Rhinolophus ferrumequinum: one gene and its partner. The protein of the gene in region 2 interacts with the protein of the main gene of each other region in a biochemical or structural test. Links are inferred from orthologs where the notes say so. Each region holds a gene or a part of one and is shown on either strand. Other genes may lie near its edges.

Region 1 (7,140 bases), on a different chromosome or scaffold from region 2:
CGCCAACTTAAACATCTGTTCACTCGTCTGTCTGGTTTCCTCTTTCCTCGTGACTTGTGGGAAGCGTTTATGTCGTGGGTACCGATTACCTGGTGTTAGACGTGGTAAGTGTTTCACCCTTCCCCTCTGTTACCTCCGTCTCTAACGTAGGCAACAGAAGCTCGGCTGCCATTGGATAGTAGTGTGACTTAAATGACACAGTATGTGTAAAGCACTTACAATGACACCCGGCAAGATGAAGCACTCAGACATGTGGCTCATGTCAACTATTATTCAAGGACCCCAAGTAACAGGTGCACAGAATGCCCATCCAGGGCTCTGGGTGCGTAGGGTGCTCCGTGACCACTGGCCTGTGCCATTATGAGCTGGAGCCCAGACACAGGAAGGGTGAGGGCAGTGGGACTCCCATAACAACGTGGAAATGGACTGGACTCGGTGATGACTGCACAAGTGGTGACATCACTCAGGTGACACACAGGGTTGGGTGTCTGAATGTTGGCACCGGGTCTCAGAGAATGTAGGCAATGAGTTGGAGGAACCAGTGTTGAAGTTAGGGTTCCCTTTATAGTCGACTCTCAGCAGAAATACACTGGGCTGGACCCCTGGCCTCCAGCATTGTTTCTTCTTTAATTCTCCTGCCAAACGTGTCTTCTCTGCCCAGCTCTGTGGCCATACGGTTCGTCCTCAAAGCTCCGTGGTGTCGGCTCATTGTTACACCTTGCGGTGGCCCCAACGCCCACTCTAGGTTTGAAACCCCCTTCTCTGGCCCACCTAACTCCCATTTTCTCACCAGCTCCCTCTGCCTTTCTCAGGGATATTTGGTCAGTGCCCCGAGTGTCAGGTCGCCCTGGTATGTAGAACACCTTTATCCTGCGCTTGGCTCACCGAGCGGCTCTCGTCATCATACCTGTTACCTCCCAACTCCTCAACTCCTGCTCAGTGCTTCTCAACAGATCAGAGAGGGCGGTGACAGCTTTTCTTGGCTGTATCCTTTCCAAACATGGCATAGATTATTGAATTCATCAAGTATTGATTGGATCAATTCCATCAGAAATTGCTTTTTTGTTTGGTGTTAAGGTAGGGGTCTGATTTAAGTTTTTCTGTAAGTGTAGCCAATTGTTTTAGCCCATTGATTGAAAGTAATTCCTGTCCCAACTGCTCGGCAGTGCCAGCACCCTCATAAATCAAGTATCTGTATTTCATCTCACTGGTAAATTTGTCTATCCCCATGTCAGTATCAGTCTCAATTACTGTAGTCTCATAAGACATTTTTATTTCTCCTACGACAGTTCCTTTCCATCTCCTCCTCCTCCTTCTAGAATGTGTCAGTTATTGTTTTGTTCTTTCGCATTCATTTCAGAATCAGCTTGTTAAATTTCTTCGAAAAACCCTTTTGGAGTTTTAATGAAAATTTCTTCTGTAGGACAATTTGGGGGAGAAGTGACAGATCTGAGACGTCCTGTCCATGAATACGGTATGTAGTTCTCATTTTATTCAGGTCTCCTTCAATAACGTTTTATAACGTTAACACTTTTGCTCACTTTTTAAGAAGTTTTGTGTCCCTTCTATTCTTTCGTTGCTCTTTTCAATGGTATTTTACAAAACTGAATCCTTTGGTTATTGCTGGTAACTAGATGCATGTGCAGAAGTGTCTCCATTTGCCCTCCCTCCCAGGTCCACGCTCCACCTTTCTCTGCCTCTCTCTGTGCCCCGAGGAGCTGACGTCTACAGGCTGCACCACTGGGCTGTGTTCAGGGGAGACACTGTAGGAGGAGACAGGTCGGAATGCCTCTTCCTCAGACCCCACCTGCAAGCCTGCGGTTTGGCAGGTGGCCTCCTCCCTCTGCATGGCCCACACGTCAGCCCAGGATGCCTTTTCCTGGCTACTGCTGCCTCTCTGTCCTTTTAAGACCAGGAGTGGTAGTGGCTTCCTGAAGCTCAAATTTCCTCCACGCTTCAGTGTCTTGCTTGTTCACTTAACTCTGCCCTTCCCTTATAAACAGTCCGTTTATTAAAATTCCTCCAATTATCTTTCTGAGCATGCCATCTGTTTCTTGCTGGGACCCTGACTGATACAGTAATTGCCACCATAAGTGTCCCCAGAAACCGACTCTCCTAATAGGATTCTAGAATTGGGTTGCTTATATATTTGATGAGCATGTGGATAAAATCCTTGCCAGAGGGAAGTCGAGCCCTGGGGATCTGTGTCATGCAGTGGTATCCCAATCCCTCAAATGATCTCCAGCGGTGGCCTGGGACGTGGCGCATGTGGAGGGCGGACAGATGGGAGGTCAAGAGGCTGAGACACTGAGCTGCTTTGGCAAAATGGTGATGACACAGATTGTGCCGTGGGCTGTTTACTTCAGAAGACTCTGGGAAGTGGACACAGAGGAAAAGGACAATTCAAGCCTTGGGTGTGTCAATGCTGTCCCGTCAGACCACCGGGAACACACCTGTAACTCAACAGGGTGGGACTGTCACTCATTGCAGCAAAGGACAGCACACACCGCAGGGAAGCACAGGGTGACGTGTCAGAGGGCATTAGAAAGGATCTGGGCTTCTGTCAGTGATTATGGGGGAGCTTTGAGCAAGCAGGGTTCTGCTCTGGATCAGGTGCTGTCAGAAGCAGGGGTAGCCTTCTTCATTCTTACCTAGGAGGGAAGACTAGGGGAAGGCTCAAGCTGGAGTTGGTAAGCAGCAACAGCCATACCAGCCAGGAAAGGAGATGTTAGTCTTTTGGCGTGGAGGCTGTCATGTCGTCTGTGTTCACACATGACCAAGGAGCCATCATGGCTTTGTATTGATGCACTGTGGTCACAGTGGCCCCGACTGCTCTGATGTTTTGTGAAACTGCTTATGTTCAACAAAACAGAAGGACCAGCAGAAGGCAGGCCTTTTGCACTTCCTTCTCTGATGGAAAATAAGTCTCTACGGAGGGGAACCTGGAACGAGTGGTGGAAGAAGGAAGCTACGATCGTCAACCTGGGCCTCATCACAAGTACAGAAGATGGAGAAGCTGCAGACATAGCTTCTGTTTTTTCGGTCATTTCCCCTAACAAGGGGCATTGGTAGGTAACGCTTCAGTCCTTGCTTCACTAAAGACTTAGACGACATCACCCATGAAGATAAGGTCGTGCACGGGGCCTTGTTTCTCCTGCCCTGAACACCCATCTTCCCGAGGCCTGTGAAGCACGGCAGCCCACAGTCACCTCTCCTTTAGCTTGACTCCCACTTTTACAAAGTATACATGCAAGTGCTCCTCCCCCCGGAGGATTTTGGGTCAATCAAGGGCTTTCGTTCTCTGGCCCCTCAATCCACAATCCCCCTCACCGGGGAGGCTTGCACATTGGCAGGAGGCTGTCCATCCGTGGCTGGTATCGGGACCCTCCTTCTCTGCTCGTTGATACCAAGGTACAGAATCTCCTCCAAGAGCCTGGCGCTGCCCCTGGCCCCGCTCAGTGGTCTGTCATCGTGACCAGAGGCCCTCGGTGGAGGGAGGGTCACTGGCGCCCCCAGGCCCCCCCTCCCAGCAGCAGGCCCTCCTCCCTGATGACTCCCGGGTAAGGCCCCCCTGTTGTTACGTAACAGCTTTGCTGCCCGACTCACACAGGGGCCGCTACCATGGCACTGGCTTTTGCGAAGAGAAAGAGCAGTGACTGAACGCTCAGTCGGCTCGCAGGACACCGGAGGTCCCACTCAGATCTGTCGGGGTGCAGCTGGAGGTCAAAGGTCTCTCCTCTGCCCACGCCTGGGTGGCACGTCTTGCGGTTTGGTCTCCTGTCCCTGAAAGGCAACTCAGTGTCTTGTTAGCACCAGGACAGGCTCATTTGGGGCTGGTTGCGTTTACTGTCCCTGCGCCCGGGTCCAGCCGAAGGCCCAGGGTGGGGAGGGCCACTGAGGCTTCCCGGCGCCGCCAGGAGACCCGCTCAGCAGACCCCACAGTCCGTGCGGTCGGGGGGCCGCTCAGCCTGCGCACCTGCCGCGGGACCGCCTAGGATGCCCACCGCGCACTCCGGAGCCATTTCGGGCGGCCGCGGCGGGGAGCAACTGCGCAGGCGTCCGCCGGCACGGCGCGTGCGTGCGTGCGCGGCGCCGGAAGGGGCGGGGCTGCGCGGCGCCTGCGCAGTGCGCGGCGCGGGGCGGGGTGGCCGTCAGCTGACTGTGGCGGCGGCGGCGGCGGCCTCGCTGGGGACAACCGTCGGCGTCGCAGGCTCCGGCGGAGGGTCGCCGGCACGTCAGCTCTCGTTGGGCGAGGCGCGGGCCGGCGCAGCACCATGGCGACCACCGTCAGCACGCAGCGCGGGCCGGTGAGACCCCGGGCGGACGGCGGGCGGGCGGGCTCTCCCCTCAGGGCGCGGGCGGCGGTGCGCGTCCGTGGCCTCCGGGGCTCTCGGGGAGGCCCGACCACGGGCTCCGGGCTCCGGGGTGCGGCCCCCCGGTGCAGGAGGCCCTCACCAGGGTGGGCCCCCGGGAGGGAGGAAGCCCCCAGGCCCGGAAGGTCCCTCGGGTGGAGGACGCCCCGCCAGGGCCGGTCCGCCGAACGGAGGCGTCTCCTGCGCCCTGTGGCCTCCCCGGCACAGGAGTCTCCCGAAGTCCTAGTCGGTACCCCGGATGGAAGCGGCCCCCGCGCCCTGGTGGGTCCCGGATGGAGGAGGCTCCTGCGCCAGGGGCGGGTCCCCGGATGGGGACGGACCCTCGCCGGGGCCGGTTCCCCAAATGGAGAGCGCCCCCGCCCCGGGCCTAGACCGTCCCCCACGGAGGAGGCCCCGAGCCACGGACTCCGCCCGCTTCCCCTCCCTCGCGGGGGCAGAGGGAGGCCCCCGGGCCCAGCTGTGTCCCTAAGTGGCCACTTATCGCAGCCTCAGTTCCTTCCTTTGCAAACGAGAGGACGGGAGCTCAGGACCGCGGGCGGCCCTTCCCACCCGCGCTGTCTCCGGGGCTCCCGTCGGTCTCCACGGCCCGCGCGCTGCCCTGGAGAGCCGGTGTAGACGCGCCCTGGGACGGGGCCGCGCGCAGCTCTGGCAGGCGGGGTGGGGGCGCGTTGTCACGCGCCGGGAAGTTTTTATGGGCAGCGGCTCAAAATGTGCAGTAGACAGACGTTCCCTTTACGTGGGGAACGTTGTCCCGTGATGCCACCGTTGCCCTCACTCAGTCGCTCTGCCTGTAAAGCCCAGTCGCCCGCGCCTGCCCCTCGGCCCTAGGACGGGATGTTGACAAACGCTGGTGGCGGTTGTCCTGACTAGAGGAGAATCTTTTCCAGAGAGTATCTTTTCTGAGTGACGAAGACCCAGGTTCTGTTAGAAGTCCTGAGGGCTTTGCGTTGGACGTGACACACACACCGGGTTTCTCTGGAACCGGCCCCCAGGCGGCAGAGAGGTTTCCGGATTCCCTCTGCCTTTGAGCAGAGGGACGGTTCCCCTCTCCCCGTCCTCCCTCCACAGTGACTTACGGCGGGCTGACAGCCAGCCGGTTCTCATTGCTGCACAGCCGGCTGGTCAGAGAAGCAAGGGAACCAAACGAGCCGCTCCCTTCTCCGCGTCCCCCAGGGAGCAGTGGGCGCAGGGGGCCTGACCTGTCCCGTGTCCTCACCCACCTGGTGCGGACCTCGCTGGTGGTGAGTGTGAACGTGCGGTGCGGGGCGCAGTGGCCAGAAGTGCGCTCTCAGTAAGGGTCGGCCCCCCTGTGCGGAGCAGCGGTCGGCGCGGGGACTGCACAGAGCTGGGGCAGCTGGCACCACGGGACAGCAGCTGCGGGGTCGGGCGTTCCCGTCCCGCACGTGGGGCCTGGGCCGTCAGAGGTTCTGTCCCTCTTGCCATGTGTACCGTGCTTCCCGGCCTGTTCTCTGTAACAGGCGAGTGGCCTTATGTCCATGTGTTGGTGTGCAGCGCACATAGACCTGCAGATGTTTTCGGGGTGCTCTCCATGGCCTGTAAACACAGTAACGTTAGATCTGGGCCCGGCTGCTGGGGGCCTCCAGGAAGGTGTCCTCAGGGGCAAGGGTCTTGAGTGCCCCTGGAATACACGTGACTTACTCAGCCAGTGTTGCTGATCATGACATTTGGGACGAGCAGGTGCAGTGCCTGCCAGGGAGGGGGTGGGGGGTCTTACAGTGTGGCATGGGGAACCACTGGCACGCATAAGCAGGCAGACGAGCGCGGCGGGGATGGTCGCCGTCAGCTCTGTGGGTCTTAACTTAGGTATAAACAGTGGCCGGTCCTGGGCCGGGAGTTGGGGTGGGTAAAGTTCTTGGAGGGACCTGAGACAGGAATGAGCAGGACTTGTTAGACGAGGTGGGGTGTGGCGGGCTGCGGAAGGCCAAGAAGGGTCCTGAGGGCAGGGCCTGTGCCACTGTGAGAGAGGGACAGGCGGGGCCGGGCGCTGTTCCACATGGGAGGCCTGGGCTGGCAGATGGGTTTGCTCTGGAGTTTTATCTGCTCACTACAGTGTTACTTTTTTTAACAACATTTTTGCCTGGCACGCATCCTCGCGGAGACCTCCCTGGTAGCCAGGGTGCATGGACTCCATCCTGTCTGGGCCCTGCGTCCCTGTATGCTGGGTGCCGTGCAGGTAGACGGGTCAAGAAGCTGCAGTACCAGCTGGTGCTGGTAAAGGTAGCATTTGGCTGTGCTCACTGCCCTGGGTCCTGGCTGGGCAGCAGTCCTGAGGGAGCCCTGTGCCCTAGGGCCGTGTCCCTGCCTGAACAGGATGGGGTCAGCCCTGGCACAGGCTGCCCAGAGCCTGGACTCACTCACTGGGGCTGGCTCGGAAGCCTGACCTTGCCTCCCACTCCTGCTCCCGCGATAAAGGAGTGACAGGCAGAGTCCGTGGGACTGTGAGTGAGAAAGGGGAGTCACCAGGGAGGGAGGCTGAGGTGGCCCTTGTCCATGCTTGCTGCCCGTGGGGCGCCTGAGGGGTGGGTGAGATGGCGTGTGAGAAAAGGTGCCGCCCACGCTGAGCCGGCCTCACGCCTTCTGTCCTGCTTTCTCCCCGCAGCAGCTGATGGGCTTCTCTGCCTAAGGTTCAGCAGACGTGCTGTTTGTATCTCCAGGGTCACGTTTTCCCTTAATAGTCTGAGGATGGCCCAGCCCTGTGCTGTTTGCCCCACTTTTTAACAATGCTCGTAGTTTTCTAATGACAACC
Region 2 (7,237 bases):
TTTATTTTCTAAATCCAAAAGGGCGGAAATCCGGGACTTGACTCTTATTTCTTTGACTCAGTGAGGGAACAAAACCTATTCACAAAACCTATTTACCAGTTCTAGCTGTAGGGCCAGTCAAAGGCTCTAATTCCCCAGTGAGAACCGGTTCCACCCCACAGCCTGAAACCTGACCTGTCTGTGAATATGGCTGCCAGCCGGCCAGTCACTGCTCGTTCCCAATGATGCCGCGACCAACACAGAGGCTGCACTGCAATCAGGGCCCTGGTTGGCACCTTGGCTCTGCCACTAACTTAGAGTGTGCCCCAGCAATGATGATCACACCAGTGAAAAATCACAATGGCTAACGATTATGGACACTTACTGTCTGGCAGGTACCAGGGCACATGTTTCATAACACAACACAACAACCTCCCAACACAGCGTCAGAATCCACTGAGTTCAGGGACATCAAGTCTACAGGGCTCTACCCTCACTAAGGGATGGAGTTGGCAGGCTTGAGATTATTGTACTCGGGTAGTTTATAGAAATACGAGCCGCTAATATTAGGTCATCAATAATCACAGCCAATCGGTGGTACTTCCGCCTCTTTATCTAAAAGAAAAATATGGAATACCGAGGGCAGATATTCTTCATTTAATTCTACTTTTAGAGCTTCTTCTGCTCTAAAGTTCAGTGGCTCTGGGGAGTTCATCTCATCTTTCCTATCATTTCACCGGGGTCCTGGGTGAGTCACAGTCTCTAGCTTCCCCTCTCTGGGCCTCATTTTCCTTCGTAAAATGAAGACGATGGACTGAAACAGGTTTTCAATATGCAGTTTCCAATCCAGTGGCATTAGAATCCCCTGGGAACTTGTTAACAATACCAATTCTAGGCCTCCACCCCACACCTGTAGAGTCAGAAGCTCTGGGGGTGGGGCCCAGCCTGCGGTGCTTTAATAAGATCTCCAGGGGATTCAGAGGAGAACTTTAGGTTAGAAGAGCCCCGGGGTAAGGACCCTTCCAGCAGTGAAACTTGGTTTGTGCTCTAATGTATTATGATTTAGTAGCATTCTCTTTGGACAGAGTATTTCTTACCCAAGGCAGGCAACCCTTTCAGGGTAAAAAGAGAAGCTGTTTTCTTTGACCATCTGAGGCCCAGAGTTCAGGTGAGCTTTTCAAGAAAGCCTCAGGTATTTATAGGCTGACTTAGAAGGGCAGAGTTTTGTTTTAAGTAGTTAAGTCTCAAACTTGGCATGTGATGAAAGCAGTGGTATCTGTAGCTGAAGAAAGAAAGATGAAAGGAGAGCTACCTTCTTTTCAGCTCTAAAACAATGACCCGGGTGTGTGTGTGTGTGTGTGTGTGTGTGTGTGTGGTGTGGGGGAGCCGCAGGGGGTGGGTGTTGGTGGTCCTGAGAGGACAGCTTCCCCTCTTGGGTCCAGGAGCTTCCTGGTGATTTGTAAATCCTCTACGGCCACACCCCTGTTGGAGAGATTTGATTACAAAACCTCAGAAGAGCCACAAACAGCCACGGTGACAATTACAACACAGAGCTGGGCTGACAGACTTAAGTTAGGCTTGGCTTCCAAGACATTTAAGAATGGAAAGAATGTCTTATTTAAAAGATCCAATTTTCCCAACCTGGGTTTCAGGCTTTAAACTATCAAAAAAGATGAAGAGAGGATTTCACAGTACTGCCTGCGGTTTCCTCATGAAAGACGGAGACAAAGCCAGACTCCCTGGAGAAGTGTGAGCTGTTTGGGAGGGCCCGTGGGTCCTCCCGTGGTGCAGGCAGGACTGAGTACCTATGAGAGCTACGACCTCGCCGTTTGCAGGGACTCCCGAGCCTCCCTTGGTGGCATCTCAGTAACACTGACAATAAATATTACCACTGTCTTTTATAGAACATTGGCAGGCACTGTTCTAAGTACTTTACATTTATTAATGAGTTTAATCTTCACAACAACCCCACGGAGGTAGGGACCTTTATTATCCGCTAATTACAGGGAAGGAAACATCGGCACAGAGAGGCAGCGTCACTGAACTAGTACGTGTCCCGTCAACAGGGGGTAAGAGAGTCAGGAGACCTGGGCTCTGAGTAAGCCTGTGTCTCTGGCCAGAGTGCTGGGCTGTCCGAGCTACTGAGAAATAAAGGAGGCCCCATCAGGTGGTTTCTAAGATCACTGCAGCTCGGAGCGCCGGCAACTCTATGCGGGAGAGCTGACGCTGGTGGCTGAGGACTGCCAGAGAAGAGCTGCCCAGACGCCCAGCTCTGATCCTGGGAGAATGAACTTCTAGCCCTTCTCAGGTATCCGTATCCGGAAAGCCTGGCAACTCAGGAAGGAGACGGCAAGAGCCCAGGCTGCGCGACCCCAGCTGGGAACGCGCAGAGGTAAAAAATGGAACACCCCAAGGACTGCGAAAGCTGGCAGTCCCTTTAACCGTCTAAACTTTCTCCCTGTATTCGCGACCCCAGCAGCCGCGCATTGGCTGAGCCGCGGGCGGACCCGCCCTCTCTCTTTGTCTATTGGCTGTGACAGGTATCCATCACAATCCGAGGCTCCCTAATGGACCAAGGCTTTTGTCAATCAAGATGGGCGGGAGACTGGGCGGGGCCAAGTCTCGGAGAGACGCGCCAGGCGCGTTCCCCTTCCCTGCCTCCCTCCGGTGTGTGACTGGGGACGTGGGTGAGCCCCGCGGGGACCGAGGCCGGGCGCGAAGCCCTGCGTCGGGGTTGGCCGAGACTCCAGGGACTCACCGATGCGCTGTCCCACCGGAGAGCTGAATGGGTTCCCCAGGAGAAAGTCCATCGTTGCGGCTGCCGCTGCCACCAACCCGTGGAATCAGCTGACAGCAACCGCCAGCGCCTTCGACCCGTCACGTGACGCGCCGGATGGTCCGCGAGGTGGCGCCGGTGGGGGCAGGGCGGAGGGAGTCTGGAGCGTGGCCACAGGCCCCGCCCCTGAGAAGGAGGGTCGGGATCACTGAGAAGGAGGGCGGTGACCTCACTGCGGCTTACTCGGTGTCGGCGGACGTCACGCACAGCGTAGCGCGGTAAAGAGCTTGGACCTTTAAGCCACGCCCTCGACGTTTTCTAAGGTTTAGGGGCGTGGCCTAGTGATCTCTTAACACACCGGGAAAACCGGGTCCCAGACCAGAGAAATGACTTGGGGAAGGTTGCAGAGCAAGCCCAGACTACAGTTCTCACTCTTACGTGTTTTAGCTCTTGGGACCTCACCTTCCGCTGGGGTTGACGCCTCTTTGGCCGGTTGTCTCCTTGCCTTGGTAGAACTCTTCCTATCTGAGGTCGAGGTCCAGGGGTTTGAGATCCTTTGACAGAGAGACAACTCAATGAATTCCAACTTGGGACGGGCTAGAGCCCAGGGTGGTAGAAAGCACACAGATGTAGCCACGAGCAGGGCACGTCTCTGCCATTTACTGTGTGATTCAAGCAGTGAGTTTCCATTTTTCTCTGGATGCTGGAATTAGATCGAGGACTCTGATTTTTTTAGGTCACAGGCTCCTTTGAGAATTTGAAGCCATGAGCCTTTCTGAAGAGAAAAGGCAGAGACACAATTTAACTTCAGGGAGTTTCTGGGGTCGCCGAAGTACAGCTGTGGACCTCAAGAATTAAGATTCCAAAGGCCTTCCCCAGCTTTGTGATTCTAGTATCTCCTTAAACCTTCCTGTCCTGCCATGTTTCAGATGTTGCCTGCACATTAGATCTGACCTATTGGTTGTTTTTTTTCTTCTGACACGCACACCAGAAGATACAATAACCACTGCTTTGGTAGTTAGTGGCTTTAGTATTTACTGACCACGATGTTTGTGATTCTTAAATTTGAAAGCCTATTAAATTGTGCACAAATTTAGGATGGAAAACCTAAATTAGAACTTAATCACTTCTGTGTGTTAACGTGTTTAACAGATGTCAACCTGTTTGAGGGCTGACATCTTTAATGCACAATATAAAAACTTTATGGGAGTCACGTACTCCTGTGCTTTGAAGTGTTTTAATAATGCCCATCCTTTTAATAAATGCCCTCCCCCCCACTAGTCTAGATGCTCCATGAGGGCTGGGATACTATGTCTCCTTTCCTCACCACTATTGTCTAGCACAATGACTAACAAGAAAATTTAAATCATCTACCTTTCAATAATGGTATTTGGACTATGGGAGGGGGGCACGTACCTTTAAGATGAACGTCATGTCAGGTAACATACATATTTTTCTTCCTTTAAGAATATTGCTTGGTTGTATGGCGTATATTTAGCATGAACTTCCTTTGGCTTCTTCCATTATTTTGGGTGGTGATTTACCAGAAGTTCCTGCTTTCCTGCATCACTCTGGTTTAAAGTGATTATGGGCAAAAGATCTTGGCTTTACTGCCAAGAATAAAACCACTGTAAGTTTTATCCTTCATAGTAAAAAAGCAGAAACAACCCACATACCCCCCAAGCGGAGTAAAATCATCTTAACTCCATGCAAACAGAATACTGTGTATCTATTCAGTTAGAAATGGAAGTGTGTGGATTTTGTCAACACAAACGATAGGAATATAAATGGAAAATATTTAGTACAAAACTGATTAAAAGTATGTTTAAAAATTTTTTGCAAGGAACAGTCATTTAGTAAAAAATCCATTTTAATTTTACCTTTTAAGTGTTTTATGAATATCAAATGCCTTCCTTTTACCTTCAAAGGGAAAAATGCTTACGTCCCTTAAGACTGACATATTGCTTAAATGCAATGTCATCTATCATATCCAGTAAGTGCTACTAGACAAAAATCAAGATACTTTGCCAATAAAGTTTAAAGACAATAGTATGACAAGAAAGTGAGGCCTCTATCGTAAAATCCACCTAGGACAAAAGGGCATTTGAACAAAGAAACAGTCTCAGATAGTTTTCCTACAATCACTCAGTACTGTAGATAACGGAGGATTCTGATGGATTACATAAGTGGCTTTGGGTAGAAGAGAGCCTAGGCTTTGGGGTCAGTTTGAACAGTGTGCTTATTCTGGCGCTACCGTCTACTACTAGCTGTATAACCTTAGGGAAAGTACTTTTCTGCATCTTTATTTGTAAAGGGGGATAATACTCAAAAGGCTTTTGGGAGGATTAAGTGAGAGAAAATATGCAAGTCATTCTCTATAATAGTATTCAGCAATATGGTGATGTCTTTCTTGCTGCCTCTCTGTACGTTAGCCTTTCAATCATAATATTTCACTTTATGACTAGTAACACCTTGTTTGCATTGAAATTTTTACCTTGAAAAAGGTCAAATTTCCATATATTAAATGTTCACAATAGTTCTAAACATTCATGTCAGGTTGGCTGGCTGCTGGCTTGGAGACAAGGAAGTGACATGAACACTCTTTTACAGATGTGACTTAGGACACCTATAAAGATTACGTGACTTATCCAATACCACCAAGTTAGGACAGTGCTGAAACTGTGTGAAATATATCACATTAAGTACATGATTCAGATGTGAACCTTACAGATGAATATTTTCTTGAGCTAGGCGAACACTGTAATGTACATACTATTTTATTTGCCAGTGAACAGAACTACACTTTATCAGAGTCACTGGGCTTGCAATCTGCGAAAGAGAGAACATGAGAGATTCCACAACGTCAGAGTTAATATTAATAGAAACAGAGGAAGGTGTATGTTAGGAAAATGGCTAAGATCAGAAACTTGACCTCTATTCTAGATGGGTTTTTTCTTTTTAAGATAATTATGGTAGGATATAGTGTGGAAAACAGGTTTTACAATTTTGGAGCAACTTTGGTTGGCAGCAGGGAAAAGATAGCTGAGACTGGACTACAAATATTAAAAATGTGATTTTTAATAATATAAGTACAAAATTTTATTTCTTTATACAACTGTAATGGAGTTTGGATCAAACCGCTAGAATTTATTTAAAAAACAAAATAAAACAATGATATAAAAACTGCAAGGTCTGAATCCAAAGTTTTTCCTCTAATAGTACCAAATACCACAAGATACAGATTATTATACAAATGTGTACAAATTTTAAATACAAATACAATAGGATTGGATTTTAAAGGAAAACAAACAAAAAACAGGTCCTCATCAGGATTTCATTAATGTGTTCAAATGACAATGGTAGGACTGGCCTTCTTTCCGTATTAATCCATGTCTCCAAGGCCCCTCCTTCACACCCTGTGTCAAACAGGAAACTTCCAGGGGTACAGATGAGGCGTGGTACAAGTTCTAACACACGAAATCAAAACAAGATTTCTGTTTTTCTTGATTTTGGTTCCCAGACATTCTTGTTTCCTTCTGTTTCCCCCATTAAAACTCAGAACTGCTCTGAGCTGAGAAAGGCATTTAGCAGCAAGAATACCTTTAGGAAACAGCCCGGTGACCCCACCGGTCGGGAGAAGGGAAGGAGTTAAGTAAGATGCAGCGTAGCTGCCCTGTCCGCAATGATCCACCTCGATGCTGTGGAGCTCCATCCAGGCCCCAGGAAGGAAGCACAGTTACCTCAGAGCTGGGTGTTGGCAGGGAATCTCACACCACATTTAAAAACAACCCTGAAGCGCTCAACTGTCTTCTTTGGGACTAGGAAGCAAAAGTCTGGTTCTTTGGAAATACGGGCAGCTGGGAAGGGAAACATTCCATTTTATTTTACTTTCTTGACATTATTGAATTATAAGGAATTAGAATCCTTACATAATGATACCTTGTTGAGGCATGATACCTTAAAATGCAGATGGGAGTTTTCAGAGGAGGCCAGAGGAAGGAAGGGGGGAAGAAATTAACAAGTCTGTATCTTCCACATGCTGTTGCTGGTGGAGGCTTTTGTTATTAAATTATATGTACAGAAATTTACAGGATAAATTAAAATCTAAGATTTTAAAGAGTTAAATACACATAATTAAAACACACATTCACACACGCGCATAAATAAACCTACGTGAGAATCGAGTACTATTTTTTGCAATTCACTCATGTGTGGTATGTAGAACACGGTGTATCTGCCCCCCAGGGGAGCCAATGAGATGGACCCAAGAATCCCGCCGGGCGAAGTTCATCATCCACAGCCACCAAGCAACTAGCAGCGGGACCTGTGAAGACTTGGCGGCTAAGCGAATGCTGCCAATGGAAGATACCAGCTCTTCGTTCTGCAGACCAAAGATTCTGGGTCAACTCACAATATATGCAGTTCAACTGGTGGCACTGACAGCTTTGCCGTCTCCAAGGTGTTTTATGTTGCCAGGGCTCA

Evidence for each region.
Region 1: the proteins of TOM1 (region 2) and TOLLIP form a complex in vitro, tested with the Homo sapiens proteins (3 studies listed by BioGRID and IntAct, with this or other methods). The link is inferred for Rhinolophus ferrumequinum from reciprocal best matches to the Homo sapiens genes TOM1 and TOLLIP.

Annotation. Positions count from the first base shown.
Region 1 is NC_046294.1:836,204-843,343, reverse strand, and holds the start of TOLLIP (toll-interacting protein), read left to right. Parts: upstream 1-4,136; 5' UTR 4,137-4,274; coding exon 4,275-4,307; intron 4,308-7,140. UniProt on the Homo sapiens protein: Component of the signaling pathway of IL-1 and Toll-like receptors. Inhibits cell activation by microbial products. Recruits IRAK1 to the IL-1 receptor complex. Inhibits IRAK1 phosphorylation and kinase activity.
Region 2 is NC_046293.1:11,036,232-11,043,468, forward strand, and holds the start of TOM1 (target of Myb1 membrane trafficking protein), read right to left. Parts: upstream 3,011-7,237; 5' UTR 2,790-3,010; coding exon 2,738-2,789; intron 1-2,737.